4 linked regions of the Mytilus edulis genome follow. The protein of the gene in region 1 binds, or shares a complex with, the protein of each later gene. Links are inferred from orthologs where the notes say so. Each region holds a gene or a part of one and is shown in the gene's direction. Other genes may lie near its edges. The genes, in order: general transcription factor IIF subunit 1-like, general transcription factor IIH subunit 4-like, DNA-directed RNA polymerase II subunit RPB2 and RNA polymerase II subunit A C-terminal domain phosphatase-like.

Region 1 (7,098 bases):
ACAGTCACAGATTCATCCGAATTCAATTTCCTCTTCTGTCCTAAAATAACAGAAGAATGTTACAGACAAGAAAATATTGGTGATCAAATTAAAAACAATTGGGAATATGTCATGGGACACAGATGATGTTTCTGCATTTAAAGGGACATAACTCAAGAACAATAAAAGTGCATGAAACAAACTATATAAATTAGTAAGATAACAATATTTTCAGAATCCTAAAGACTATGCAAAATGCAATTTTTGTATAAAAATAAAATTAAGCTATTCATTGAGTATACATTACTTTGTTATGGATACTCGTAAGAAATCACATTGTCTTGGTGTGTGATTTTAATAATAGAATGCCTAAGACTCTGAGAATTTGTTTGTGTTTTGAAATATAGTTTTCATCAATGCCACTGGATGAAAATGGAATAACAAAAATCAGGTTAAAAATAACATAGGTTTAACATACAACCTGTTGTATAGCCTCTCTCTACCCATGGAATTTGCTTTACTTTGGGATCAAGCTTCCTCAACTTCCATACAAATGCTTTGTATTGTCTTTGTAAGTGATCAATTTTCAGATTAAATTCTTTAATTTTTGCTTCAGGGTAACATGGTACTTGTGATTGCTGAAATAATGAAATAATCAATGTATATTTTCCATTTCTTTTAAATTTAAATACATCTGAGTAAAAAATTGGAAAGTCATTTTATTGACTAATTTAACAATTCTTAATTAATCCAAAAAATAATACTCAGAAAAATAACACATCCTAAAGTTTCTCTCTCTCTCTCCTTCATTTAAATTTGTAATTGTTATATCAAAGGAAGATGTAGTTAAAAGGTAATATTTTTATAATGCAGGAATGTGAAACTGAAAGTCGTCAAAACACAGTAATATAAACAAACTATGAAAAAATAAGTTGAAAGCCATTTTTTTAAATGAAAGAAGGAAAATATTTAACTTCATTAAAAACCCATGAAACTTTTCTAAGTTAAGTATGTTATTATAAATCACTTTAGTATGTTATTAAATCAGTTTGTTTTCTTTTTCTCTTTCATCAATATTGATAGTTGTTTTTAACCCTTTCAACGCTATACACGGCATATGCCGCGATGACATACGCCGTTCGCCACTGCTATTCGCGGCATATGCCGCGATGACAACGGATTTTTCATAAGGACTCTTAAACCATTCGGTTTTCATTCGGGTTCTCTCTAATTTTTCCTTGTATGAATCGAGGATATGCAAGGTCTCATTTGCGCTTGAAATCCCGACAATTTTTATTGTAAAATCATGCAGTAGAAGGAAAATTGAAGGAAAATAAAAACAAATATTTTGACAAATGCAAATGGCGGAAATCGGAAACGAAGCTGTAAATATGGAAATATTTCAGCATTTCTATGGCGAAACTGATGACGAGGATTAGTTAAAAGGTTTCTTGTTATCTCAATGTGTTTATTACATTCAATTCGTGTGGGAAATATGATTTGATCGATCATTACGAGACGTAGAAAAAGGGGGGAAAACGGAGGTTGACTGAAAATTTTGAGGACGGAGCCACTGATTTGTGCCATGATTACATAATACGTTGTGTATGGTGCAATACGCTACGGAATCGAGCAATTGGTGTCTTCTTTATTATATGGCAGATAAAAAAACAAAATAGATGAAGACGAAAAGTAGTTTTTATTCAAAATTCAACACAAATGTAACAAATTACACCTTTTACCTGTTAATTACCTGAAAATGCAGATAACCTGATAAAAATTTTACTGAAATAACTGCCTAACATTACAGTTCATACTCTCCTGTGCATTTTTCATGCAATAACTTTTTCTGTATCTCTTATAATAAAAAAGATACAGCAGTCTGAAAAGGAATATACTGTTCTAATGAATGAACACAAAAAAAATGCAGCAGCAGCAGCCATTTTTCTATTTTTTTGTGTAGCGTTGAAAGGGTTAAATTAAGGGAACAGCAAATATTTGCCATCATCTAGAGCACTTCCATCCAAAAGAATTGCTGTATTGCTCCTATAATAATAGAAATAATGCATAAGGACTTGAATTTAAACTGATTTTACTACTGGTTGACATTTACTGTTGATATTTTACCCCTCCATATCACTTTTTGTAAAATATTCAGATAAATATGCTAAATATTTTACAGGGAGGGATACAATTTTGGCATACAGGGTTAACCTGTGGTAATATCAGTATAAATTCAAGAACCTATGAACCACTTCTTTAATATACACATACTACACAAAAATGTACAAGTTCTTGCATGTTAAAATCTATTTACTTACTAACTAAGTGAACAATTTCTTATGTACCGGTATACAGTTTTTTTCATATCAATATCATAATTACACGTAAAATAAATGTTCATGTGGTTATCTCAAGTAAGATGTTGCTTTATTTTATGAAACGTTTTTGTTTGTTTGGCAACTTAGTGTTGAAAGCTAGTTTTTATAGCTACTTTTGTTTCCTTTACAAATTTTCTTTTTTTCCTGGGACTTTAACTAATACATATATTGTATAGACACATATCTATTGTTAAAGACTGGATATATTTTGAACACATTTATTTTGAGTGTTATTGGGGTGCTGCGGCACTGCTGACTCACTGATATAAAATAAAATTTGAAAACTACACATAGAAACAAAATTGAAACTGTGACAAAGTAAAAGAAACTACCTTCAAACAAAAGTCAATATCATCTTTAATACTTGGTATCCAGTATCTGATGTCTTCAGCTGTATTGATTTCATCCTGTTATAATAAGAAGTAGATTTCCTTTATTGATAAATACAGATTCTCTTTTAAAGGAAAAAGAAGCAGGAATAGGTATATAATTCCCTTATTCACCTGGAAACATAATACATCATGTTGAACATACTTAATTAAAATTTCATTTTCATAAATTAAGAACAAGAATCCATCTCCCTAAGGCACAGTTGACCGTAAGTATTCACTCATTCCTGGCTTTCAAATGTTTGTTTGAACATTCCTGATTCATGAACATAAATTCTAAAAATAGCTTCAAAGACACAGAATTTATCAAGTGTTGATTTAATTTGTTAAACACAATGAATATAACAAAAAAAAACCTAACAACATACCAATCTAGGTCTTTTGGGATTTTTCTTCTGCTGTTCTGAAATATAAATTAAATCAAATGAATCAAAGACCCAAATGGCAAGGTGGTGCAGACATTTTAAACATATAATACAGGGCTGCCAAGTCTCACGCATGTTCATGCTTTTTTGGCTGCATTTTCCTTTGAACTATTGTTTTTTCTCTTTGATCTTTTCAATTTTGGTCATTAAATCTCACGCATTTGCTTCATGAAAAGTTGGCAGAACTGTATATATAGTTTCTTTAAACAAAAAGAAGAATATCTAAAATGTGTCACTCAGTAATGAATAACCATGGACTTTCTATACTTAGTACAGAAAGTGCCTGGAATAACCAGAAGAATTTTAATATGTTATATAATCATGATAATAGAAAATTAATAAAAGATAATAACAGTTTAAATTCATCACTTTTACTAGTACTTTCACAGCTTTCACAGATCTGCAAGTAATGTGACTTGTATACATAAGTATAATATAAAACAATTCATTACTTTTACAAGTACTTTCACTGCTTTCACAGATCTTCAGGTGTATATAACTATAAGAAATATAATCAGAGACATATATACACATATATGTCTCTGATATAAATATAGAACAATTTTATATTTTACTATGCCTGGCCCTTTTTATATAACTTGTTAAAAATTGTTATTTGACTGCAACTTAAGTTGATATTAAAGTCAGTACCATCTTTTTGTTGCTTCAACAATAACCTATTTAACCTCCCAAGTTGTTTCTCCTCATTTCTGGCCATTCTTGTGTTATTTTCTCTTTTTGGTCAATGATAATTTTCTTGCTTTAATTGTTTTCGTATTTTAAAAAGTCATTGCAACTGAAGTGTCTTGATAGCTGTTTACTTCTTTTAATAGATAAAAGTGATCCTTTATCAGCCTTTTCTCTTTTCCTTTGAAATAACTCTTCACGAACTGTCCATTTGAGAATAATATAAATCCGAAAACATTACTATAAAAACGGCGTTGAAAATTTTACCGAAAACTTATAATTTTTTTATTTTTTTATTTTACGAGTTAGAAAATAGCCTATATAACTAAAACCACATTTTGATGGCAACGCCAATCAGTCAGCCACAGGTGGTAAGATTAATTTGACACATTATATAAGATGATACAATACAAGTCCTCACATCAGCTATCAAACACTTTATCGAGGATTTGTATAGTATACAAATCCTTGACTTTATCATGAAATTACCAGATTACCACATCCATGACATCGGAAAATATCAGTACAAGTACAAAGGCAAATACAACTTTAGGCTTTATACGACTGAATCTTGGTAAATGTCAAACGAATAATATGAGGCAGGCATTACCTGTAAATGGGGACGAAGTCTATGAATTATTATTTTAATTCAAATATGTTGATAAAAGAAACGGAAATACCGTAATGTTTTCGATTTTGGTTCAGTTGTTAGGGATTTAAGTGTGACGTTATTTAAGTTATGACGTCATATTCAATGTAAACAAAAGAAACGCTTTCATCAGGTAACGTTTTTTTCATATAAAATGATAAAACGATTATTAAAAATGAATAGGGCTCTTCACGGTTAGTTCGGCCATATTGGATAGGGGGCAGATTTTCATAATAGAGGTAAAAATGGTGTGAAAAATACGGGAAAACATCATTAAAACAGAGCTGTTGCTTGGAAACACACATAGGATTTCCCACACTTTCATACCATTTCCACCTCCTTCTAAAAAATCTGCCCCCTATCCAATATGGCCGAACTAACCGTGAAGAGCCCTATTGGTATTTGAGTTCCAATCCTTTATTTTACTTTACTGATAAATATATATTTTAGTCAAAGTCTCATGCATACAAGACTGGAAAAAGGAAATAAATTTCTGCGCAAATGCGGGGATTTAAAAAAGTCTGAAAAAAATTTAACGATTTTGAGTTCATTAGTAAATGTAGTATATACTAAAAAATTCGGGAAATTTTCTCGAATTTTTTTTTTTTTCTTCTTTTTTTTATTGATTTTTCTACCGTAATAGGGGACTTCGTCCTACATGTAATATAAAGCGTTAGATATATATGACCAACACTAGAATATGCTAGCAATGTCTGGGACCCACATCTCCAAAAACACATACAACAATACATCTTATCACTATTTGTCCGCCATTCTCTGGTATAGAAAATCCTATCTTCGAAGGAGTACTTTAATTTGCACAATGACAAATAGAAATGGTTATAAACATAAAAAGACATATGAGGTATGCCTTGTGGGATGAGTGTTGGTTACTGTTAAAGACCCTTACGCTTTTTTGATCATACAAGTTTGTAGTCTGTGTAGAGCAAAGCAAAGCTTCCTCATTATGTATTTTATAGTGTAGCAAGCATCAGTACATTTACACTTGCAACCACAGTCACAGATAAAGCTACTTGGATCCAATATAAAGTTAGTGTCTAGGGTGACGTACTATGGGTACATTTCATGCACACATCAATACTACATATTATGCAGATAAGGTGCACAGATTTCATGCAGAACTGGACATTCCATAAGAAAATAATCTATTGTTTCTGGCCTACCCTAGCACAATAGGCATGTTGGATCTACTGTGTTACTGGACATCGCAATAGTTCCCGTAAAGTTTTGACGTCACAATAGAAAATATCTGACAGATCAATGGAAATGTGTTTGCTGTAATGACGTCAACAGTTCAAGCAGGATTAGCCATAAGATGTATGTCAATGCAACTAGAAATGATCCAAAGGCAAAGGAGAGCAGCCAGATTCATCAGCATGAGTATACTCGAGACCCATATATTAGAGGACCTTATAAAACTACCACAACTACATAAGGGACGATAAACATCATGTTTACTCCCTTTTCACAAAATAATCCACCAATTTATTGCAATCCCAATTCCAGAATGCTTGATGACACCAGCAAGAATGACACCTCTGCTCCATCAAAGAGAATTTGTCAGATTAGGATCATGTTCTGAAAAAAAGAAAGCATAGGTTCTTCGTAAGAACCATCACAAACTGTAATGAACTACCACCTAGCCTATTAGTCAAGACCAAACTCATATCACACAGATCTGTAAATCAGCACACACATGTTTTTATCTGCACTGGCACATGTATATATATGTTAAACACCTGAACATGCTGAACATATGATTTTAAAAGAGCACTTTTTGATGACACAACTTTAATTTTAACTTAATTATGTGTATGATGAGTCAACTGACTGTTTACGTATTACCCATGTAGATGTAGATGTAGACATCAGAATATATAATCTTCTGACTAGTGACTAGTGTTTTTCCCAAAAGAAAAAATGTTCATTCAGCAAGCATTGTATTTTAAAGTTTACTCACACACATATATACAGATTATATGAATCAATTATACTTCTGTAATCTCATGATACTTTTGTTACTTTTATAGGCTGCAGCTTCTGGCAGTGCCACACAAGAACACAGTGTAAGAGTTCTCAAGTAAGTTGTTTATGCTAGAGGAACCAAAAATTTTGTTACTAACTTGGGACAATATAACTCATGGAGTACCAATTTTTATGGATTTTGTTGGGATTGATGAACCACAAAGTTAAGTGCTCAAATAATCTTTTCTCCATCCAAGAAAATTGGTATATTGTAGATTCAAAAATTAATTCAATCCAGTTATATTTCTATCTTAGTATATAAAATGCATTGGACAAAAATCATCTAGTCCATTTGATGCAACAGCATGAACAGGATTGTTAAAGTAACCTGTTCTGATCAAACCAAATATTAAAAATCATATGCATTTTCTGTTCTTTGTCGGGGTTGTTGTTGCCTTGACAAATTCCCTCCATTTCCATTTTCAATCTTGTTGGATTTCACTAGCAAATTGCTTCTTATATATATATCATGTATATATTGGTTAGATTTAGTGACCTCCAGTGAAATATATTGAAATGATCAACCTTAATGTTGTCATGGC
Region 2 (6,918 bases), on another chromosome or scaffold:
AAAGTCCTAGGTTCAAATAATAGCCTCTTTTTTAGTTTCTAAGAAACAGACTTAACCATGACAACTTGTAACATTGACCAATTACCCATAATAATAAGGTCAATGTCAGATGAACCATGCCAGACAGAAATTTTCACTTTACAATCAATCTTTGCTTTAATTATAGTTGTATCTAAGAAAAAATCTAACATGTAACCAGGAAAACTTTAGATTGATCAATAAACCATGAAAATTAGGTCAAGGTCAAATGATGCTTGCCAGACAGACATACACACCACAGCTTACAATATTTCCATACTACAAATAAAGTTGACCTATTGGTTATAGTTTGAGAAAAACAGACCAATACACCAAAACTTAACACTGAGCATTGAACTGTGAAAATGAGCCATTCATGAGGTCAAGGTAAAATTAAACCTGCCAGACTAATGTGTACATCTTAAAATATTTTCATACAGAGGAGAAATGATAAGAAAGAAATTAACATTACAAAAAATCTTAACTTATTTTTTTTCAAGAAGTCAATGAACCATGAAAATGAGGTTAAGGATGATGGACATAAGACAAACAGAAACTTCATAACCTAATTAAGGCATCTATATACATTCGAATCGACTGGAACTTCATAAACTAATTAAGGCATCTAAATCTATATACATTCGAATCAAAGTAGGAAGTATCCAGATGAGGTCTTCCACCTTCTTCGACATACATTTTTTAAGAAGATAGCTAAAGCTGCAGCAGGATCATTATACATTTTGTACCTATGTCAAGCTATTTGCTGCAGAAGTCACAGGCTCAACATGCTCAACAAAAATCATTCATTTGGGGATGGAGTCCCCTATTACGGAAGAAAAATCAATTAAAATTTTTTTTTTTTTAAAATCAGGAAAATTTTACTGAATTTTTCAATAAACTAATGACTTTTTTTAAATCCATGCATTTGCGCAGAAATCTATTTCCTTTTTCCAGTCTTGTATGCATGAGACTTTGAATAAAATATATATTTAATATCAGTATATTAAAATATAGGATTGGAACTCAATACCAATTCATTTTAATATGAAAAAAACGTTACCTGATGAAAGCGTTTCTTTGTTTACATTGAATATGATGTCATAACTTGATTAACGTCACACCTAAATCCCTTACAACAGAACCAAAATCGGATATGTAACAGTATTTCCTTTCCTTTTATTAACATGTTTGAATTAAAAAAAAATGCATACAGACATGACAGACTTTGTCCCCATTTACAGGCATGACAGGTAATGCCTGCCTCATATTATACTAAAACAGATTTCACATTCTTTCAAAGGTATGACACATGCCTCATTACATGTATCAGATAAAAGTGTCTGTCTTAGGAAATGTTAAATAATCAAAGCACCAAAGGGTGCTATAGGCAGTTAATCAAAAACCCAAAGGCAAACTTGGCCAAGTTCAGATGAATAGTGTAAAGAATTAGTCGAAATATTTATCTCAGGCATTGTTCTCAGCTATTTCTAAAGTATCAAATAATGCTTGTACAGTAATGTTTATGTTATGCAATCCTACCACTTTCAAAAGTAATTTCCAATTTATATTCATAAAGATTCAATGTCTGAGATTATACACATACACTGTCCTATCTTAGGGGAGAGTTTTGTGCCAGTTAAGATGTTTAAGCCGCCACATTCTGTATGTACCTGTCCATAGTGAGGACCCACTAATGCGGTGATTGTTGCTGTATATCATATTTATTTTTCATAATTGTTTTGTACATTTTTAAAAATTTTATTAATTTCTTGTGTATAACTTCTGATTTTAGTATGATGTCCAAGTTATTGTAAATGCTCTTTTGTTCCGACGTTGGAAAGTTCCAGGCGGAAAGAACTAACTAGCCGAAAAGTTCTCCAGAACTTATTAACTACATTGTAGTTACTTTGTTCTTCCTCTGGTTTAAAATTTTATAAAGTTCCACCTGAACAAGTGACTAGTTGAAATAGTTTACATTTTTGTTATCATGGTTATTGTGTTAAGGGGCCAGCAAAAACAATCCTTTGGGTGTAGGAGTTTCTACCTGCATTAAAGATCCATTGGTAACCTTCGACTATTGTCTGCTCTAAGATCTGGTTATTGTCTCTATTACACATTCCCCATTTTCACTTTCGATTTTTTTTACGTCTCAAATTATAACTGAATTAAAATATGTTGATTACGGTTTAACTGTCTTCCATTACTAATATCATAATAAAAAAACATTTATTTAAACTTTCAATAACTGTAATAGTAAGAATTAAGAAAAACTTGTTTGTAACTATAACTTGTTGAAAACATATTAAACGTTTCTCGAGTCTCGTTAATCGACTCGTTACCTTTTTATCCTATCATGCGATTTCTTTTCTTATTATTTTCAGGGGGAAATCGTTTACCAGCATAAAGTTGCTGAAGGAACCGCATAGAATTGATTCAATAACACTTAACGAGTGTTTAAATGTGAAAAATTATAAAAAGAAACATATAAAAAAGTCGTATTTTTCTGTACCGGAAATCGAGAAGTCCTTGTAAATCAAAACAATTACAGTGTGATACGCGTCACAGATTCAGACTTAATATTTTACAAAATATGCGACTTTGAAGTTAAATAATGCCGTCCTTTAGAAAACAGTTGTTAAAGTTTACATCACAATATTTATTGAACCACATCGAGCTTAAGCAAAGCACGTGTAGAATTATGTTACATTGTGTAACACCAAAGCGAAACAATCTTAAAATGACCTTGACATCAACCAATCAGAAAACTACAATAACAACAACTTAATTTGACAAGCATGAAGGTGATTTGCTAGAAATCGGAATAATATTAAAAAGAAAACAAATGAGCATTCATTACAGATTACTGAATAAAGATGATTTAAATAATCTCAATCAGACAAAAAAACGAATAAAATGATTAATAATAAAAGTACCGATGTATCATCAGAATTCTCCCAATTTAAAAGGTACGTAAATTTCGTCTTCTATGTAATTTGAAATTGCCGCCAACTTATATCAGCTTATATATAGACTACTGACGTATGTGATACGTATCGATGACAAACAATATTCCTACGACTTTTGCCATCTGGGAAATGTAAAAGACTCATCTATATAGATTTTCAGCGATCAAATATTTCATATAATTGTTCTTTGACATCTTAGCCCACAGCACAGGGGGTAATAAACTATAGAAGGATTTCTATCGAGCACTACTTCCTATGTGCAACTTCAAAACTTTTGGGAAAATCGACGACCATTTAACGTTTTTATGGTAATATTTTTTATATTCTAAAATAAAAAGTATGGAAAAATGCCCAATTAGTTATAAATAACATGATAGCCAGCCAGAAAATAAAAGCGGCACATATTTCAGCATTTATTGGGTAGAACATAAATCTAGGGTGCTCGCATAAAGCAGCTTAACTGCTTAAAAAATTGTGAACAGGAGAGTTACCTTTTTGGGAACATCCCGTTTGACAGAAGATGATGATTGCCTCAAAAGGAGTAAACTTTCTCGACTATCTACAGTTTTAAAATATTGAATATGATTCTGGTTACAAATTGAGCATAATGCTCTAAGGCGTATGTCTGAATTAAAAATCAAATTATTTCGGTGGCAAGGTAGCTTAAAAAGCTTAATTCCGAACTTTAAATAATTTGTTTTCAATTTGCACCAGGAGGCTGACATCTTTAATCAATTTTGTACCTCCACACTAAAGAGCTCTCCATGTTTTTGTTTATTTTTCTCAATTCTTTCTGTATCAATATGGGTCGAAAAATATTTGACTGAATGAAATTATTGATTTTCAAATGAATTAACCAATGTTCTATGACTTTACGCATTATAATTCGATAACGAAGCAATAACGTGAAATGAGTTCTCCTGTGTAGAAAGGTACATTTAGTCCTATTTTTTTCATTGTCATTTGTGCGTTTAAAAAAAGACGATTTTCTGGAGAAAAAATAAGATATTTATTGACATTAATGAAGAAGAAAAAATCATAAAAAAAAATTTGCAAGCATGGCAACTACAAGAAAATTGGACTGTAAAAATTTGCATGGTTACTTAAAAACTTTACCATGGCATGTTTTAGACAAACTATATTCACATCCTGCGACTTGCTTGGCTGTATTTAGGTATGTCCATCGAAGTAACCGATTCAAGACGTTTTGACTTTTGGCCTGACTGCCAGTTCGGCCACAGTCGTTTCGGTCTGTTATACACCTTATCGCTATTTGTCCGCCATTGCTGGATATCACACAGGTTCCCGTAATATTTTGACGTCATAAAACAAAATATCTGACACCACAATGGAAAAGTGATTGTTGTATGCGTCAAAAGTTCAAGCGGGCGGGTCAGCCGGGATTAGCGATAAGGTGTATTTCGGCCATACTGACAGTTCGGTCATACTTTGTAATGCACCAACAGTTAAATTGAAACATTATTTAAAATGTCTTTTTCTAATGCATGTCATACAAAAGTCTCTTGTCCACTAACTATCCTATCGGTAGTCTAAAACCTGTCATCTTATAATTTGGTTCGTTCGGTATTTGTGTTTGTACTCATCACACGGTAACCACATTGATGTCACTATGCTAATACCAGCGTTCAAAATTAGTGCACAATACGTTTTTTCTACTCTTGTAAATAAAGAATACATTTCTAAAGATATGTTTTCACTGTTATTCCAAAGTATTGTACAAAAATGCCAATTCTCTAATGACCGTTTCAAACCTGACTTTCAAATTCCTAAAAACATTTCAGAACTTCACAATATCCCACTTCAAGCCTCCATTGCTTTGTGTAATTCCATTCAGCGTCATCAATCTTAGTCATGTTAGTGGTAGACAAAACAGGCCAAGCAAATTGTAAAATAAAACAACGAATTCATGACCGAATTTTACAAGAACAGAATTCATATATTACAGAATCATCAAAATTATCATTTTTTCTACAGTTTTGTTTTTCAAATAAACGTGCACACTATCATGACAATGTTCATTATGTTGACCAAGTGAATATGTTGAAAGATCAAAAAATATCAAAGCTATTAGCCTACCGAAAAAAGAAAAAAAAAAGGTCAATACATGTAGGCGAAAGACTTACCACCATAGCGGGATATATCATGTCTTGAATTATGACATCTTGAAAGGGTATTTATTTTTTCTTGATTTTAACGCCTTTATACTGCTCAGTATTTAGGCACAAAAAATAAAATAGCCTTTCAATATGTCATAATCATTTGGAATAGTCTACTTTCAGACCACACTTTATGACAAAACGATTATCATGATTATTTGTTAAGTAATATGAGCATGTACATCAAAAGCTTAACATCATAAAACATAAACTTGAAAATTTACAATTTATTTGAGCACAACATTACATTCAGTGTATGCTCATCAAGTACTCAAAAATAGTATCTACAAGTATTATAGACATTAAATAATTAAATTTATTAATAACAAATGAATTAACCTAACAATTTCTTGGAACAACATTTAAATCTTAACAGGTACTATGGCCGGATCAGCCTATGGCCAAACTATTTGCGTAGCCAAATTGTCTTGAAAGAGAAGTAGCAATTCTAGATTTAAAAATAAACCTTGCTGGCTGACACTGACAGGCATTTTCGATTCTATGCCTCCGCCATAGTGTATAGTTTAGTTTATTTCAATTTCAGACAATTACCAGATTTATCCAAGCACTATGTTATGCGGATGTTATTTATTGAACAACATGTATCACAATCAGTGGTAAATCTGTGGGTTAACAGCAAATACCAAGAGTAAGTGTATAATTCTGTAAGACTGAACACTTTTAAAGCCTAATAAAGTTGTCGATATATGTGAACCGTGCATGCATGCTGTAAGCATGGTAAATATAAAAAAAAAGATGTGGTATGATTGCCAATGAGACAACTGTCCACAAGAGACCAAAATGACACAGACATTAACAACTATAGGTCACCGTATGGCCTTCAACAATGAGCAAGGCCCATACCGCATAGTCAGCTATAAAAGGCCCTGATATGAAAGTACACTCCACATTCTGTATGTGGCTGTCCAAAGTCAGAAGCCTGTAAATTAGGAGATAATTGTATAGTATTTTATGCTTGGCCTTCCTTAAATGTAGATTTTACTATTACAAATTGAGTTTACATAGAGACAATAAAATCAAGTTTTAAGAAGTCCAAGTTCAAGGAATATGTAAATTTGAAAAATCAAGTCAAAAGTAGTTTACCAATCGTCACATCTTGTAAATCAATTCAGAAGCGACAAAGTAAGGTAACAAAGACAAAATTTGGGAGCATCACATCACATCAACAGTACAATTGTATCTACTGTACATCATTGTGTACATGAATCACCCATTGAAAAAACACAAATAATTTTTAACTAATCAAAATGTTAGAAAAACATCAATGAGACTGCAAGTGCAACCCAACAACACTAGAATGACTAGCTATCCAAAATGAATCAATAAAAAGTATAAAACTGAACATCCATTTATCAGTAATCCGACATTGTAAAATAACAGTGTCTATACATTCTGGTCTTTCAAAAAGTACTGAATTTTGTCACTAATGTTTTGAATTACAGTGAACAGAAACAAGCAGTAACAGCATTAACTGACCTCAGAGTATGGCACGAAGAGACTATGACTGGTGGACTTCAAGGATGGAAAATGAATCAAACTTTCAGAAAGAATATGAAAATAGCCTTACTTGGAGGGTAAACATGAAAGAAATATTCAATTATCTAATGCAAATGTAATACAGATTTATTTCAAAAGTTTATGTTTAAGAAGAGTCAAAATGCCTGATTTTTATGAGACATCATCTTTTGTATTGGAATGATTTGTGTGGTTCTAATTATTTGTCACCTCACCCAAGA
Region 3 (7,824 bases), on another chromosome or scaffold:
CATAAACCTTAAGCTGTTTCAGGTCTCGGTCATTGAAATGTTTTCAATATTTTACCTCATATTTATAAAATATCACTAACACACCTTTTACATATTTTCTCTCACTACTGTTCAGATGTGTAGTATTCTGTGTATCTGTGGATTTGTCTTTTTCTTCGCTTTTTTTTTGTATTTTCCATAAGACAATGAATACGTCTAACTCATATTGTAGCAATAAAGCCCAGAAAAAGCAAAGGAAAACATCTTTCATTGCTGTTCTTTGTCTTACAGTCACAGTGAGACATACAACACGGAGCAAAACAAATCCTCTCACCTCACTGTATGTTTAAGACAGTCCAGGGACTTTCTATACTAGTATAGACTGTCCCTGGACAGGCTTTAACTAGCACCGATGATAAACATATTCTTACCCTCTTAAACATAATGCTGATGCTGCGGAAAACTACTGGAACATTATATATACTATTCCCATTGGAACATTAAGGATAGTGGTGCAGCAAACTACTGTCATTGTAATGTAGGATACCGTGAAATAAGAACAAGAATACATTTATAAAACAAGTTTTAAACATAACATGCATTTAAGTGATCAAAAGGCAGTGACTATTTTGCCAGCTTTGATTAAAATATTCGATTTCAAGCCTGCAAAATAGCATTTTTTCTATAGAAATGGCTATTTTACCGCCACCAGCAATATCATAGTGATTTTTTTTATTTTTGCAGATTCTTTGTAAAGAATGAAATTTAATATTCACGTTTGAAAAGTACTATAAAATGTGAACTGTCAACATAAAAGAATCAAAATCATATCGTTTAAAACGTTAAAAATTCTCTGAAACTGACATTATCAAGATGCCTGATTTCTTGATTGACAACATATTTTATTTCTTACTATCTAACTCTAATAAATAAACAACAGCTTTGCAGTTTGACGTTTACTAGTTACTTAAGTAGTATATATCTCCCAATTGATCTCCCAATTGATACGATATTCCCGTGCTTGTATTTCCTATCATGATATTCTTCACAGAGTTGCTGCTCACAAATAAGCTATTAAACCATAAGTTCAAAAAGGTCAAGTTGAAATCATTCCTTCGTAAATTTTACGGACGCCATCATGAGTTGGTCGACCGTCATGGAATAATTTGCCCGTTTCACAGATGATATCATATATATATATATATATATATATGTCCCTTACGTTAAAACTACAATCCCCTTCGCTTTTCATGAATATGACCTACTGAATAAGACTATTTGCCGGGTTTGGTATAACATGAGCAACACGGCAGGTGCCCGTGACATGTGGAGCAGGATCTACTTACCGTTCCAGAGCACCTGAGATCACCCCCAGTTTTTGGTGGGGTTCGTGTAGCTTAATTTTTAGTTTTCTATGTTGTGTCATGTGTACTATTATTTGTTTGTTTGTCTTTTATATTTTTAGCCATGACGTTTTCAATTTATTTTCGATCTATGAGTTTGACTGTCCCTCTGGTATCTTTCACCCCTCTTTTAAAAAAAAATTCCAGTCACAGCATAAAGAAAAATTTATAAAACTTGAAGAAAAAATAAAGAAAACTGCGTCAGGACTGCTTAACAATCGAAAGAATTTATATATGTAATATAAAAAGTAAAAAGAAAGAAAACGGAGACATGAAATGCCTGTCATTAGCGTTTGAGACAAGATTTTGCGGATTTAGGCTGCTTGTGTCTCTTATTGATGAATATGTGCCATATAGTGCGGTGACTGAAGGCAGATTTTTTGGAATTTAATCTCCCCACCGAACACACATCTACATAATATATCATTGGAAAGAAGAAATCGTGTACTATAATAATATGCCTGTCGTCAGGACTTGATGTGGTCACATTTTTTTAAAATTGAGGTCAAAGGTCATATGTAAAAATCTGTGAAAGTTTGGGAGGGTTTCAATTTTGACATTTTTTTCTATTTCTAAACTCTACCTATATATAAATGATACTGTTTTGGCTTAAGTAATGTTTGTTTTTATACATAAACCTTAATCATTGAGATTTTTTTTATCAAAAAAGATCCTAAAACCACGTTTTATAAACAAAACTTCAAAAATCAAGTTTTCAACCTATAAAATGTTTAAAGCACCTTAACCTTATGAAAAATATCAATTTCAGGTAAAAATCAAGTGTCATGCAGGACAATACTTTAAAATTATTTTTTAAACTATCATAGTGGGTGAGTCATCAAAACAAAGCCATAGAACACTACAGTCAAATATGACCTCAAATTGAATTTGCGGATACTTCAGTTTTTTTATAGACTACTCGTTGCTTTTGGGTTTTTTTTTTCACAATTATTACTGCTACCATAGTATTATCTTTTGTTGTGTATTTAACTCTGGTTAATATCTATTACATTATAGGTTTTGTAACTATGTCCCCCCTTTTATCCCTTGCAACGTACCCCAAACTTCAAAAGTATTCCATATAAAAAAAAAGAAGATGTGATATGATTGCAAATGAGACAACTCTCCAAATGAGACCAAATGAGACATAAAACAATGATAGGTCCCGTACGGGCTTCAACAATGAGTAAAATTCATACTGCATAGTCTTCAATTCCCGAAATGAATAATGTAAAACAAACAAATACTCTAACGACCTGATTAATGTACAAAATAAATAAGAAAAAAACAAATATAGAATATAGAAACACTGCATTACCGTCTCGTGACTTGAAACAGACACATACAGATATTGGCGGGGTTTAACTTTTTTAAGGGCACGTCAACACTCCCCTAACCTCGGACTGGAATCGTGTGTACCAGTGCAACAAGCTTTATACCAAACCAACCGTTATCTCCATCATCTTCATTTTCACCAACCGTCACAAGACATGTTTTAATATTTCTACACATTTCACTTATGGCCACAGGTCTGCACATGAAAGGTTCTGCTCAAAGCAAACACTTTATTTTGAGTTTTTCTTTTCAAGTACAGACAAGGTATTGTAGAAAGTCCGAACACATTTGTTCCTAAAAAAAATACCAGCTTCAAACCATCCCTATCAATTCATCCAAGATTTTAAAAGAGATCTAAAAGGAGGTTTAGGAAGGTGTGATGACATCCATATGCTTGTCTGCAAAGATGCTGGGGAAACATTATACAAGACGTACGCACTATCTTGAATTCGCTCAATTTCATGGTTGGCAACACATTAGATAGCGTCGCACTTTACTTTAAGAAGCATAAAATCCATTGGCATTAAATGTTTCAACAAGATGTTTTGAACCAAACTCATGGTACATTTGTAAAGCCAATCCTAAATGAAAAGGAGTAAAACAAAAACGATTGCCTCAACAATTGCTTAAGCATTTCCACAATTTCTCCGGTGCCATATCATGAGAATAGTCTTGGCTGTATGCATTTTCATTGAGTAACCATAGAATGAATTGCAATAAATACGAAGGCATTGGCTGAATTAAAAACGAAGAGAAAATTCATCCGAAATTGGGTAGTCTTCTTTAGAGTTTCGATGTCTTTTCTAAGTAAACTTGCAGCGGAATGAAATATCTGCCCGAAACTGAGGGACAACAGTCAGATAATTGTATGTCGTCATTAAATATTAGACAAGAATCTTCCTCGCTCTAAAAGGGGGAACAAATATGTTTACTTGTGTAAGTTTTGTAGCATGAACGATGAATAACTGCCTGCACGGAGTTTTTCAAATTAACAGCTATTGTATGAAACAGCTTGATGTTCATGATCACCTCATCCAATCTTTTATGCAATGCAGATACAAAAATCGACTTCCCTAAACTGGTAAATTGACTCAAAATTTCAATCGAGGTTTTTTTATTTGGCATATTATGCACTGCATAAAATGCAACGACTTTTGTCTTTTCTTTGAACTTAATGGAGCAAGTTGCAAAGGACTTGACATATCACGGAGTATTTACTGAAACTATCCGTCAATTATTTTAATTTTACAATAAGACTTTTCTGACAAAGTATATTTGATGTTTTATAACGAAAAAACATAGAATATAAACATATACAAACAAAGTATGTGGCATATATCAGTGCACTGTAATTGAAAATATGTGTATATAATAGCGAAAAAGGTAGTAATTTCATATATCATTTGAGAGCAAATTATTGACTAATACACAAAATGTGACGGAAGGCAACTGATTGAGTTCCGTGTTGAAATTGAAGATATTTACTTCATTCTTTTTTCATTGATTTCTTAAGGTTTTTTCATATTTTGTTTCCGAAATTTTTATCACTAATTAGTTTTATTAAATATTATATGCTTAAAATATTATGGGATAATTTTTATTACTACTATGAAGAGGAAACTAAAGTTTGAGTCTGAATTTGCAATTAAAATTACCTCAATTTCAAATAGTCTAAACTTCGCAAATTTTATAGATTAGAAGAAAATAAAATACTGAATGGAATATTATGACATATAAAAATAGCTTCAGGAAAAACTATTTCAATTAAATGTAAGAAAACATACACATTTTTTTCATTTTGAAACAGGGGGGTTGAAACTCTCCAATATACTACCAGTCATTAAAACGACTTTTTAGAAAAAAGTGACCGTACGAAATTCTGACGAAAGGGCGAAAACTAAAGAAGACATATTTGTCTTTAAGTTAAGACCATTTTTAGCCGTGTGTTATTTGGGGAGATTAAACTCGCGATCTAGACGACTTTTTACACTTCTGTCACCGCACTAATAATGTCGATGAATAAAAACATTTAGGGTCGTAGTGGTATATAATGTCCCTTTTATTTTTGCGGTCATCATCATATTTTTTTTTTAAAAACCCGAGAAGTATCGAACAGATGTTTATATGTATAAATAACTCAAATTGCCGGCATTTAAATGGCGCATTTCAAACGCGTCAGTTAGTTGTGAAATCCACAGTCATCTGATACGAAAACTAACTGAATATAAAGAAAGGGTTGTAAATTATACGAAACCAACATGTATTTACCAGAAGAAGGTTAGAACTGATATACACACATCGCCCCTGGAGTACTTATACCTTTTTCAAACAATAACATTGCATTTTTTTTTTCAATCTCTCTAAAGTCCTCTAAACTGTAAATCAGTTATTATGATTATATATATCTAAGTATGATAAAGAGATCACCAGAAGATTTAATTAAAAATGGTTTTACAGTAATGGGGAAAACATTGGGCCATGTTTACAGTTTTGGGGAATAAATGAAGAAATTATTCGAGTGAGTGGCTCTGAAGAAATTTTGATAAAACTGATGTACTAAATGACAACAAAGGTATTTACATATCAGTATGAAAAATAACTTTACAGATATTGACAAGCTGGTGAAAGACTATCCATTGCTAAGTCTAGAGAATAGGTTCTGATACTGACAGTCCATAGAACAGAAAAAAATAGCCAATGGCATCCTCTCAACCAAGGATTTGTAAAGTAAACTATACTATACAAATCCTTGTCTCAACTGACAACATAAACAACCAAAACAATACTTGACGAGGAAAAATCAAACAATCCAAAAATAAAAAACGTCGGGATTTCGTAATACTTGAATAAAATAAAAAGTAACTGCCTACAATGGTCAATGGAGATAACCAATGTCAATGTGCACACAACATGTATTTTAACGATCACTTAATTTCATTCCTGCACTGGAGGGGATAGGGCTTGGGTAAGAGGGAGATTTCCTGGGCATTGGGTCTGTTTGCCCCCTATACGTTGGTATCAGGTCTGTTCACCCTAATTACATGTTCGCCCTGAGTCGGACCCGGACCTAGATTACTTTACGTTTTATCTGCTTTTCCACACCCTATTCCTATTCAAATACTTATAAACAAAACATGTATTTTGTAGATATGCATGAGGCAGAGGAGGACAGTGATGAAATTACCCCTGATTTATGGCAGGAAGCCTGCTGGATTGTCATCAGTTCCTACTTCGACGAAAAAGGTTTGGTGAGACAGCAGTTAGATTCCTTTGATGAGTTTATTCAGATGTCAGTACAGAGAATCGTAGAAGATTCACCACAGATAGATTTACAGGCTGAGGCACAACATAAATCTGGTGGTGTAGAAACTCCAGTAAGTCAATACAGACAAGACACTTAGTATAGCTAATTTGGTCACATTAAAAGATTAATATATTTTCGGTTGTAAAGAGTAGAAGTTCAACTACTTTAAAAATATACAATGTACATCTGTCATAAATCTTTTATAATCTGTGACCTGCATCAACAGATAAGCAGTGAAAATGAATATGTTCGAAAAGTGTGTAAACATCATAACATTGTTTTCTTGTGCAATTTTTCTTGTTACATATGTTTTTGCGTTTAAACATTGTTATAAGCAAACACTTTACAGGGACACATTATATAGTGAATCTATAGTCATGATAGTAGAACCCATAATAAACATAAATTATATTTTGCAGCCTAGATACTTGTTGAAATTTGAACAGATTTATCTGTCTAAACCAACTCATTGGGAAAAAGATGGTGCTCCTAGTCCTATGATGCCAAATGAGGCACGACTAAGGAATCTTACGTAAGTTATAAAAATTATATGGAAAAATGCTACATGTACATGTAACTATATGCGCAATAATAAGTCTTTTACGTTGGTTAACCCCAAAAAATTTTCAGTTGTCCTGGTTATTGAATTCATAGGAATAAATAAACCTTCAGGGATTGTGACATTATAAATTTGAATCTTTTTAAAGTTGACACAACTATACTATTAAACGAGAAGACCTCATTTTGTGTGTCTTCTCTTCCTTCCACAATAAATCAATCATCATGCCTCTGTGTCCTATAAGTACCAAGCATAGTCGCATTTGTCATCCATTCTTATGCTTAATCAAATTGAATTCTTTTGAGAGAGAAACGAAAAAAAGGCGTTTGGATATTGTTACCGTCGTCAGACCGACTTTTAGTCATAGATAAGACTTCTGGATTTAAACTTGCAGATGATTTTCATAGTACTCGGAGAGAGGTCAATAATTTTGCGTTTATCTACATGTATACTATATATGATTAAACTACTATAATATATAGAGACTCTATATACATGTAATTATAGCAGTGATTGCCTTGGAAAGGAAACTTGGAACTAATAGTTGAAAGCAAATACACTTTATTATTAATATACGTATGACGGTATGTTCATAGTATACAGAAGTCTTCAGACCACAATTAATTCCCTTTGTTCCTGTTCTTGGAATATAGTTCCCAATTCAGTGATATTGTTTGCCTCAAATAACAGCCGAAATTCGGCCTTTTCCCCTAGAGAAAATTCCCAATTACTAAAAAAAATGGCTTAAAATTCCTCCCAAAAAGGTCTACATTTTCCCAAAACTGATGGCATTGGTAGTAATGTTTGTAAATATCGTATTCATGTTATTATTTTGATATTATAAAGCACTTTTGAGATCCGGTTTTCTGATCAGAATCATCATGGTGTTTGTAACACATGTGGTTTTCAATGCATTAAGTACCATCATTGCTTCTGTTTCTTTCCCCTCTCCGAAAAGAACCTTCCGGGTTGAAAATGTCTGACAACCAAAATATACATGAAAAAACAGTGCAAAAAAGACAGCAAAGGTCAGCCAATAATCGGAGATGTGTTTAGAATAATATTTCCCAATTTCAATAAAAAATATGCATTTTTCCCAATAAAAAACGGTAGAGGTAGTTTTGAAAATAGACAACAATATCACTGCAATTATTATATGGAGTAATGATTCCGAAGTATTCTGTCCACTCTACTGGTTTTTTTTTTAAAATGTTTACTATTTAAGAGGTCATGATATCAGTTGC
Region 4 (7,846 bases), on another chromosome or scaffold:
ACTCGTAATTCACCTTGAACTCGTTAGTATTTTGACAGAAAATCAATAATCAGCTGATTGCATATTATAGCAATCCACAACAAAGGACTAACTAATAAAGGTGTTGATTGTATTGTTTAACAAAATGATATGGTTAAATGGTGTCCTTCATATGTCACACAAAGAATTTATTAACCACTTTGGGGCGCACGTGTTCGAATCAAATTTTTGACGTCGCCTCTCTTTTTATTGATAGTCCAGAAAAGAAAAACTGTTGTTATGACGAAAGATGTCCAAAAGCAAGAAAAATCTCTGATTAAAAACGTTTTTCTTTGTGTTTGATATAGATGAGGGATCAGTTTCAAGTGATAAAAGCTTTTGTTTTGTTGTAAAAAACACGTCTTAGTACAAAAGGGCACATATTTTTCTTTTGAAGAAACTTTCCCAAAGAACTGTACATCTTTTTTATATTATATTGTCAAAACATGTCCAAGAATTTTGTTATATTCCAGGACTTATATCTTCTTTATTATCTAAAGTAAGTGGCCCCCTCTTTTAGAAAATTTGTTCAAAATGTAATGAATGTTCCCCATTTTAAGTTATAAAAAAGTTCTTCGTTTTAAAAGTAAATGTTTAAGGTTTATTCATTACAATGTAGACTCTTAGATAAATTTGAAAAAATATTCATAGGCAACAATGAGGCAACATCATCTAATTTAGGGTGGAAGGGGTAAAAAAAGGAAAATTTTAAAAGAAAAATATATTTATGTTACTTGGCGAAAAAAAATATTAAAGTGGCGAAAAATATATTGTTTTGGCTAACAATGGCTAAAGAGGTGGAGAAAAAAATAATAGATCCGAGGGAAACCCTGCTTAAGGGTTCCAGGGAACCCAGTGTGTCACCTTCTTTTGCTGAAATCGAAGGCTGAAACAATTCAGTTATTTGAACACAAGTTTTTTAAGCTTAAGTAATTGCAGGAATTTATCACTATTTTGTGCATTTTTCCTTTGATCTTTTTAGATGATAATTTTGCATATCTGATAATCATGCTACTCGCTTGAGATGGACAATTATCGCTAGAAACTAAGGAGGCATGTGGAGTTGCTAATGAAATTGACAACATCGTCATAGGTTATATAGCGATAAACAGATTATCATTGGTCATCTCAACTCAATTGCTTTTCTCGTTTTGCCGTACCAGCTCAAAGGAGAAAACAATCTTGTTCAGATGATAAAAGATAATCTACAGTATAATTATCTAACATCATTGATCAATCAACAGTTTCTATATTTCATGATATATTAGGCATGAGGATGGAATATTACAGATCAGCTGAATTATCTATTGTGGAGAATCTTACAAATTAATGTACATGTAGGCTGCAGTCACAGAAATAAGTATTATAAGAACATCTAAACCAGTGACAACTCTACAACAGATTTATCCATCGGATCACCAGAAAACAAATTCTGTATATATAATTTGTCTAAATAACAGCCCAACAATGTTAGATCTTTAAATTTTTTGGAGGCAATTTTTTGTTCTTCCCTGGATTGGATTCAAACTCATGCTACCAAGACATTGAGGCACTAAATCGCCTTGCACAATGTCTGGCACGCTAGACTATGCAACCACCTAGGCTAGGAAAAAAATCAAGCTTCCTGTGGCCAGTTGTTACTTTCCTCATCAGTTTTTATCTAGAGTCAGTCTTCACGCTGAACCACAGGCCCAGCAACCCAGGCTTGTAAAATTGCTTCCTGGCCTGTAAAGATCATATGATATACAAAACACCAGTATCTAACCAAAATGTTCCAAAATTTGAGCTCTGGGGCCTGTAGATTTAAAAGTTTATTGTGAAACTGTATATTTTCGTAACACAATATGAATTGTATTATATATGTTTATAAATTTTATTACAATATATGAGGTGGATAGTAAAAAAATGTGCCGTTGACGTAACAAATATTTAAACATTTAGTTTACAGATGATAAATGCTATATAAAACAATTATGTTGATTGGTATTTTTCATGACTATAATTCGCATAATTTAGCCATAATTGACAGAGACATACACTGCAGAGAAGCAGCAAATGCCAATTTTAAAGTCTTATTTGAGATCTAGAGCTTAACCAATTAAAAAAAAAAGCAGCTTATTCAAATTTTTTTTCATCATGTTTTTTAATTCCCACATTTGTGCAGAACGCAGAAATATACTTCCTTCTTCCGGTCTTGTTGTCAGGAGACTTTGAGTAGTCTAGCCAGGGCTCACACTACTTCAGAATTATAGGGAGAAGTGACTTCTCTTTTTAAAACTGATAGGGAGAAGTGGTGAGATTTTAAAGAGAAGTGCTCATTCGCGTGGTGCGCTACAATGTCTGGATTTTATTATAGTATAAAAGGCAGGGCTCACGCTACCAGGCGACTTGGGCGAAGAAGTCGCCTTTCCGACCGTCACATCGCTTTCCCCAACCCCCAAAAGCGAAAACAAGTCTCCCTGTTCTTGACGATACTCGCTTTCAGTCGCTTTTGTCATCGGACATTTTCAATTTTTACCAAGTTGATGAAACATCAATTTTTTATTGATAATTAAAGAAATTCAGACACAAACGATTCATTATCTTTAGAAAAGAGGTTGAAGCATTGTCTTTGCAGTATGTAGCAGGTTATTTGATAAAAATACAACTTTTTATCACTTCGTGCATTTCCGCAAGTTCCGGTGCCTGTTACTCGAAAACGTTCATCAACCTAAATTTCGGTAGCAAAATAAGTTTGTTACTTCATTTAAACGTGATAAAGTTTGCCTCCAGTAAATGTTAATCCATTTATTGCATTAAAAACGTCATATTCCTTTCCAAATAACTTGTCAAACATCGTTTATTTTTGTAAATTTTCTTTCATTCGTCCGCCATTGACCGATTTCTAAACTACAAATCTCAACCGGACCAGCTATGACCGAAATCCGTACTTTTACAATAATTACTACGGACACACGGATGGAACAGCTGACAGAAGAATATTGATCCCAAAGGGGGAAATTACGCATTCCACATGCATTAAGAGACTTTTGGTTACATCTAATTGATTGGTGTATATAAATCAGAGATGCAACTAATCATCGGACCCGTCGGACCTAAGGGGCAGAATTTATGCAGGTCCGGCAAAACTCGTAGCTGTGCAGGACCTGATGGCCGGCAATATTTAAGTCCGCTTGGGTCCGCCAAAACTGAAATCCCCGTCGGCCCCGGCAGAGTATTTTGTTTATAAAATTGCGATCATCTTTAATAAAAGTAAATGTCCTGTTCCCCCGCATTTTCTAACTCCGGGAACCAGTATTTCCGCCCAGTAATAGTCTTTCGTACCTTGTCCATCTCGTCCCGAACAATTCTCCGTATTTCCGTCATGTTTTTTGTTTTAGAAATTCGCTCTCTAGGAAGGAGGTCTATTAAGCATAGTTGATAAGTTCAGGAAATATGTCATGGCCGATAAAATTTGTAAGTGGGTCGAAACCCGGTAAAAGACCAAACCAGTCACCTATTCAAGTTGATAAAGCTTAACGTTTGTTCAATAGCATAATTTCATTTGATTTTTGAGTGAAAATATGGGTCTGGCAGAAATTTGATGGGTCTGGCAAAACTTGGTAGCCTTTAGGCCCCATTGTCTGACAGGAAAAAAAAACTGTTTTCATCTCTGATAAATCCCTATATTTTTTATGGATTTTTTTAAACTATTGATTAAAGTTGCTTAACTCTGAGATTATTATATACTAATATCAATATATTAAGCCCAGCTTAATAATTTTTATATTTTTTATGAGAAACACTGAATTTCATACACAAGATTCTGGCTTCAGACCCCATGCCAAAAAAAATTTGACCTTGCTACGCTCAGCAAATATATTTGGCCTCACTATTAAAAGAGGCTAGTTATGGCCCTGAAATCTTTGCCTATGATATGAATTAACGTTACCTGATGCATTGGGTTTCTTTATTTTTAATACATTGTCATTGAAGAGGGGGGATAGGACCTTTATCGGGACTCCGGGATCGGGTGTTTTTAAGCTCGGGATTTCGGGATTGACCCTTTCGGGATCCGGGAATAGTTTTTTTCGGATTTCGGGACATCGGGATTTACTTTATTTAAATTCGGGACCTCGGGAATTCGTTTTTTTAAGTCTGGGATTTCGGGATCAGGACCCCTCTTATCCCCCCTCATTGAACATGACGTCATAACTTAAATAACGCTATAAGTAAAATCCCTAACAACAGACTCAAAATCGGAAACCTTATGTTATTTCCGTTTCTTTTGTTTAACAAATATTTCAGTTACAAAAAAAATAATTCATACAGACTTCGTCCCCATTCACAGGTATTGCCTGCCTCTTATCATAATAACACCATTTTTAAAATTTGTTATGAAGTACAAATATATTTATGCCATCATAGACATAATCACATATTCTGTGCATGCAACAGTTCCTCATATCGAACCATATGAAGCTGATGGTGTGTATCTGAGGAATATACAGGAGACTCTGTTCAGTATGACCCAAAGTATTTAATTTCGTATCAAAACAACTCCCCCTTTTAAAAAAAAAAATGAACAAAAAGTATATTTTCTGTCTTAGGGCTTTTGGTTACAGTCCTGGCTCTGTTTGTTTTACATGTTTTAAATGAACTTAGTGTGTGTTAGAAATCAATTTTGATTACGTTAAAAACTCATACAAGATCTATCAATAAATTCTGTTGACATTCCTTCGGTCGGTCGTTCGAAAAAAGCGCCATGGGCAGAATAAGTGTCAGTAACTTCTGATTGGTTAAATTTACGTTATACCCTACTTAAATATCCTCTTGGTATCTAAAATGATACATTTTGTTTTCAAAATGAAATTTTATTTAAATCTTTCCTATATTTGTTGAATACACTCTATCTTTTTTAAGTTTTGCACTTAAATTTGCTGCGAGGTGTCAATATGGAAGCGGCCATGAAGTCAGTTCGCGCTCCAAATAAAAATATTCGAATCACAAAATGGAAAGTAAAACCAGGACACAAAGTCAATCAAGGAGCCATACTGTGCATTTATGAAACTGATGATGCAAAAGGTCTGAAGATAAAAGCCAATGAAGTTGGCACTATCTGTGAAATTATGGGTCAGGAAGGTGACAGAAAACCGCCAGGGTAAACAAATACTGAAATAGTGAAAAATACGGAAGCAAGACAAATCGCCCCACTTATGAAAAAATCGTCTAAACACTTGTTAACCAACTACCACTGATGAATAAGAATTGAATCCATTTAAATCTACTGCCAACTCGCCCCACTTTAGTCCAAATAATGATGTCTTTTTTTATGACGTCTTGCAAGGCTATTTTTTAAAAAATCTGTGACGCCTTCCAACGCCTAATAACATGTTCGCCCTAGGTCTGTTTGCTCTGAGTTTGTTCGCCCATAGAGTCCGTTTGTCCTACTAATATGAGGCAGGCATTACCTGTTAATGGGGACGAAGTCTGTATTAATTTTTTTCCTATTCAAACATGTTGATAAAAGAAACGGAAATATCGTAACGTTTCCGATTTTGGTTCTATTGTTAGGGATTTTAGTTGTGACGTTATTTAGATTATGACTTCATATGCAATGTAAACAAAGAAACGCTATCATCAGGTAACATTTTTTCATATCAAGGAATTATTAAAAATGAAATTGGTATTGCGCGTTCCTTCCTATTTTATACTAGACTGATAAATATATATTTTACTCAAAGTTTCATACAAACGAGACCGGAAAAAGAAAGTACATTGTACATTTCTGCGCATGTCCGGGATTTCAAAAATCTCAAAATATGACATAAAAAAAATTGAACGATTTTGAGTTCATTAGTACAATGAAAAATTCGGGATATTTTCCCAAATTTTTTTTTTTATTGAATTTTCTACTGTTATTGGGGACTTCGTCCCCATATTAAAATATTAATATTCAGGGCATTGAAGTTGAATAAACTTGTTCAGATATTTCTATGGTATGCATGTATATATCATGTATATTCTTGAAATTTATGGAAACCTTGAAGTATTTAAAAGTTTATACCTTCTTTAGGATCATTAATTGTTCAATGACAAAAAAATTCAAATCACTGATTATTGTGATACTTGTCTTTTGATGGATTATTAATAAAAAATCGTTTCGCTTTAATAAAATATTCAGCTTGAAATTAATAAAAACAATGATGTACGAATTGTTAATTATGAAACGGATTTACAATTAAGTTCATTTATTTATACTCTAATAGATATAGGAAGATGTGATGTGAGTGCCAATGAGACAACTCTCCATCCAAATAACAATTTAAAAAAGTAAACCATTATAAGTCAATGTACATGTACAGCCTTCAACACGGAGCCTTGGCTCACACCGAACAACAAGCTATAAAGGGCCCCAAACTAAGCATACTTTCGTGATTGACTAAATACAATTATTTTGTTAACAAATATCAATAAAGATAAATACATTGTATTCCACTATTGTACTCTGCAAATCAAAGGGAAAATGATAAATTGATCGCAGTAATATAAATATTCTGTCAATTTTTCAACAATCTTTTACATATTTTGTTCAAATACTATAAATAATGCGACTAGACAACAATTAGAAAGGAAAAAAAATCAGGGCGAATGGACCCTTGGCAAACGGGTATCAGGGCGAATGGACCCTAGGCGAACAGGTACTAGGGCGAACATGAGTCAGGGTGAACAGACCCGGATTCTAAAATTTTGGCATCATAATACAAAATATCTGACGCAAATGTAAAAGTGATTGTTGTATGACATCAATATTTCTACTGGGACAGATTCTGAGGTCAACTGGGATTAGCGAAAGGTTTACATGTGTTTAATTTACTCCTGTCAACTCCCCCACCTATCAAAAATTGTTCAATTTACTCCTGTCATTGCTTCACTCTTGTTTACCAACCCACTTATAAATTGATAAAATCTAATGATTACAGTTGAGTATCACTCAGGAGTACAGAGTAATGAATAAAAATAAAAGTCATTTTCCTGTTAGAATCTTGTTGCTTTCTTAAGCTAAAAATTTTTTTATAGAGTACCTCACAGGAAGTTGAATATTAATCAATTTTTGTGTTTATTTGTCATTTAAAGTTCATCCGAACAGAGGAAGGCTATGAACGAATATACAGAAACTATTACAAAGTGCCCTACTGGAAAATCGCCCACACCTATAAATTGCCCAACTTTTTCACCATCTTTGGTCATCAGGTGCAAAAAGCGTAAATTTTGACAATTTTTCTACCTTTATCTTGACCCTGAAGACCAAGGAATGCTTGTGTTAATTCGACCTGTTGATACTGTTTATAATGCTTTTTTGTCATTTTTTATTTATACGGATCTTGTCTGTACACCAGCTTTGATTATTTGTAATATCTTCACTTATTCTTACAACATTTGTATAAACTTCAAGATTATAAAAAAAACGGTTTTTTTCTAAAGTGTACATTGATTGGTTAAATATTTCTCAGTCATGTCCTGTTTTTGAATTTGTTTGTTAGCTTTTTGGTCATGAATGTTTGTCTCTAATATTTAATTAACTGTGCATTTGTATTCAGATATCGCAGATCAAATTTATTCGTTCATTGTTTAATCATACGTTTTTTGATTGAGTTAAGTCTGCCAATTGATATTTTATCGTATGTTTTTCTTTGTTGTGATGTTATGCTATTGTTTCAGAAAAAGGGAGAAGGTTTGGATCCATTAAAACGTTTAATCCCGCTGCAAATGTTTGCACCTGTCCTAAGTCAGGAATCTGATGTACAGTAGTTGTCGTTTGTTTATGTAATATATAAGTGTTTCTCGT

What was found.
Region 2: general transcription factor IIF subunit 1-like (region 1) and general transcription factor IIH subunit 4-like share a complex: the UniProt entries of both Homo sapiens proteins name them as parts of the TBP-based Pol II pre-initiation complex. The link is inferred for Mytilus edulis from reciprocal best matches to the Homo sapiens genes GTF2F1 and GTF2H4.
Region 3: general transcription factor IIF subunit 1-like (region 1) and DNA-directed RNA polymerase II subunit RPB2 share a complex: the UniProt entries of both Homo sapiens proteins name them as parts of the TBP-based Pol II pre-initiation complex. The link is inferred for Mytilus edulis from reciprocal best matches to the Homo sapiens genes GTF2F1 and POLR2B.
Region 4: the proteins of general transcription factor IIF subunit 1-like (region 1) and RNA polymerase II subunit A C-terminal domain phosphatase-like are in contact, whole or in part, in an NMR structure (PDB 1ONV), measured with the Homo sapiens proteins. The link is inferred for Mytilus edulis from reciprocal best matches to the Homo sapiens genes GTF2F1 and CTDP1. Residues at the interface, in NP_002087.2 of Homo sapiens: Thr470, Lys471, Leu474, Gln478, Ser486, Thr489, Val490, Leu493, Ala494, Leu497, Lys498, Leu500, Asn501, Pro502, Arg504, Met511, Phe513; in NP_004706.3 of Homo sapiens: Ala946, Asp947, Met949, Ala950, Lys951, Ala952, Leu953, Glu954, Glu956, Leu957, Asp959, Leu960, Met961.

The regions. Positions count from the first base shown.
Region 1 is NC_092344.1:32,398,414-32,405,511, reverse strand, and holds the start of general transcription factor IIF subunit 1-like, read left to right. Parts: upstream 1-4,081; 5' UTR 4,082-4,202; coding exon 4,203-4,232; intron 4,233-6,561; coding exon 6,562-6,611; intron 6,612-7,098. Other genes in the region: uncharacterized protein, read right to left, coding at 1-40, 461-617, 2,693-2,767, 3,118-3,152, 3,826-3,892. UniProt on the Homo sapiens protein: TFIIF is a general transcription initiation factor that binds to RNA polymerase II and helps to recruit it to the initiation complex in collaboration with TFIIB. It promotes transcription elongation.
Region 2 is NC_092345.1:75,549,970-75,556,887, forward strand, and holds the start of general transcription factor IIH subunit 4-like, read left to right. Parts: upstream 1-3,918; 5' UTR 3,919-4,042; coding exon 4,043-4,158; intron 4,159-5,705; coding exon 5,706-5,810; intron 5,811-6,624; coding exon 6,625-6,756; intron 6,757-6,918. Other genes in the region: valine--tRNA ligase-like, read right to left, coding at 3,476-3,709. UniProt on the Homo sapiens protein: Component of the general transcription and DNA repair factor IIH (TFIIH) core complex, which is involved in general and transcription-coupled nucleotide excision repair (NER) of damaged DNA and, when complexed to CAK, in RNA transcription by RNA polymerase II.
Region 3 is NC_092347.1:65,787,932-65,795,755, reverse strand, and holds the start of DNA-directed RNA polymerase II subunit RPB2, read left to right. Parts: upstream 1-4,817; 5' UTR 4,818-4,975; coding exon 4,976-4,994; intron 4,995-5,864; coding exon 5,865-6,091; intron 6,092-6,440; coding exon 6,441-6,553; intron 6,554-7,824. UniProt on the Homo sapiens protein: Catalytic core component of RNA polymerase II (Pol II), a DNA-dependent RNA polymerase which synthesizes mRNA precursors and many functional non-coding RNAs using the four ribonucleoside triphosphates as substrates.
Region 4 is NC_092348.1:7,253,475-7,261,320, reverse strand, and holds the start of RNA polymerase II subunit A C-terminal domain phosphatase-like, read left to right. Parts: upstream 1-4,821; 5' UTR 4,822-4,952; coding exon 4,953-5,158; intron 5,159-7,846. UniProt on the Homo sapiens protein: Processively dephosphorylates 'Ser-2' and 'Ser-5' of the heptad repeats YSPTSPS in the C-terminal domain of the largest RNA polymerase II subunit. This promotes the activity of RNA polymerase II.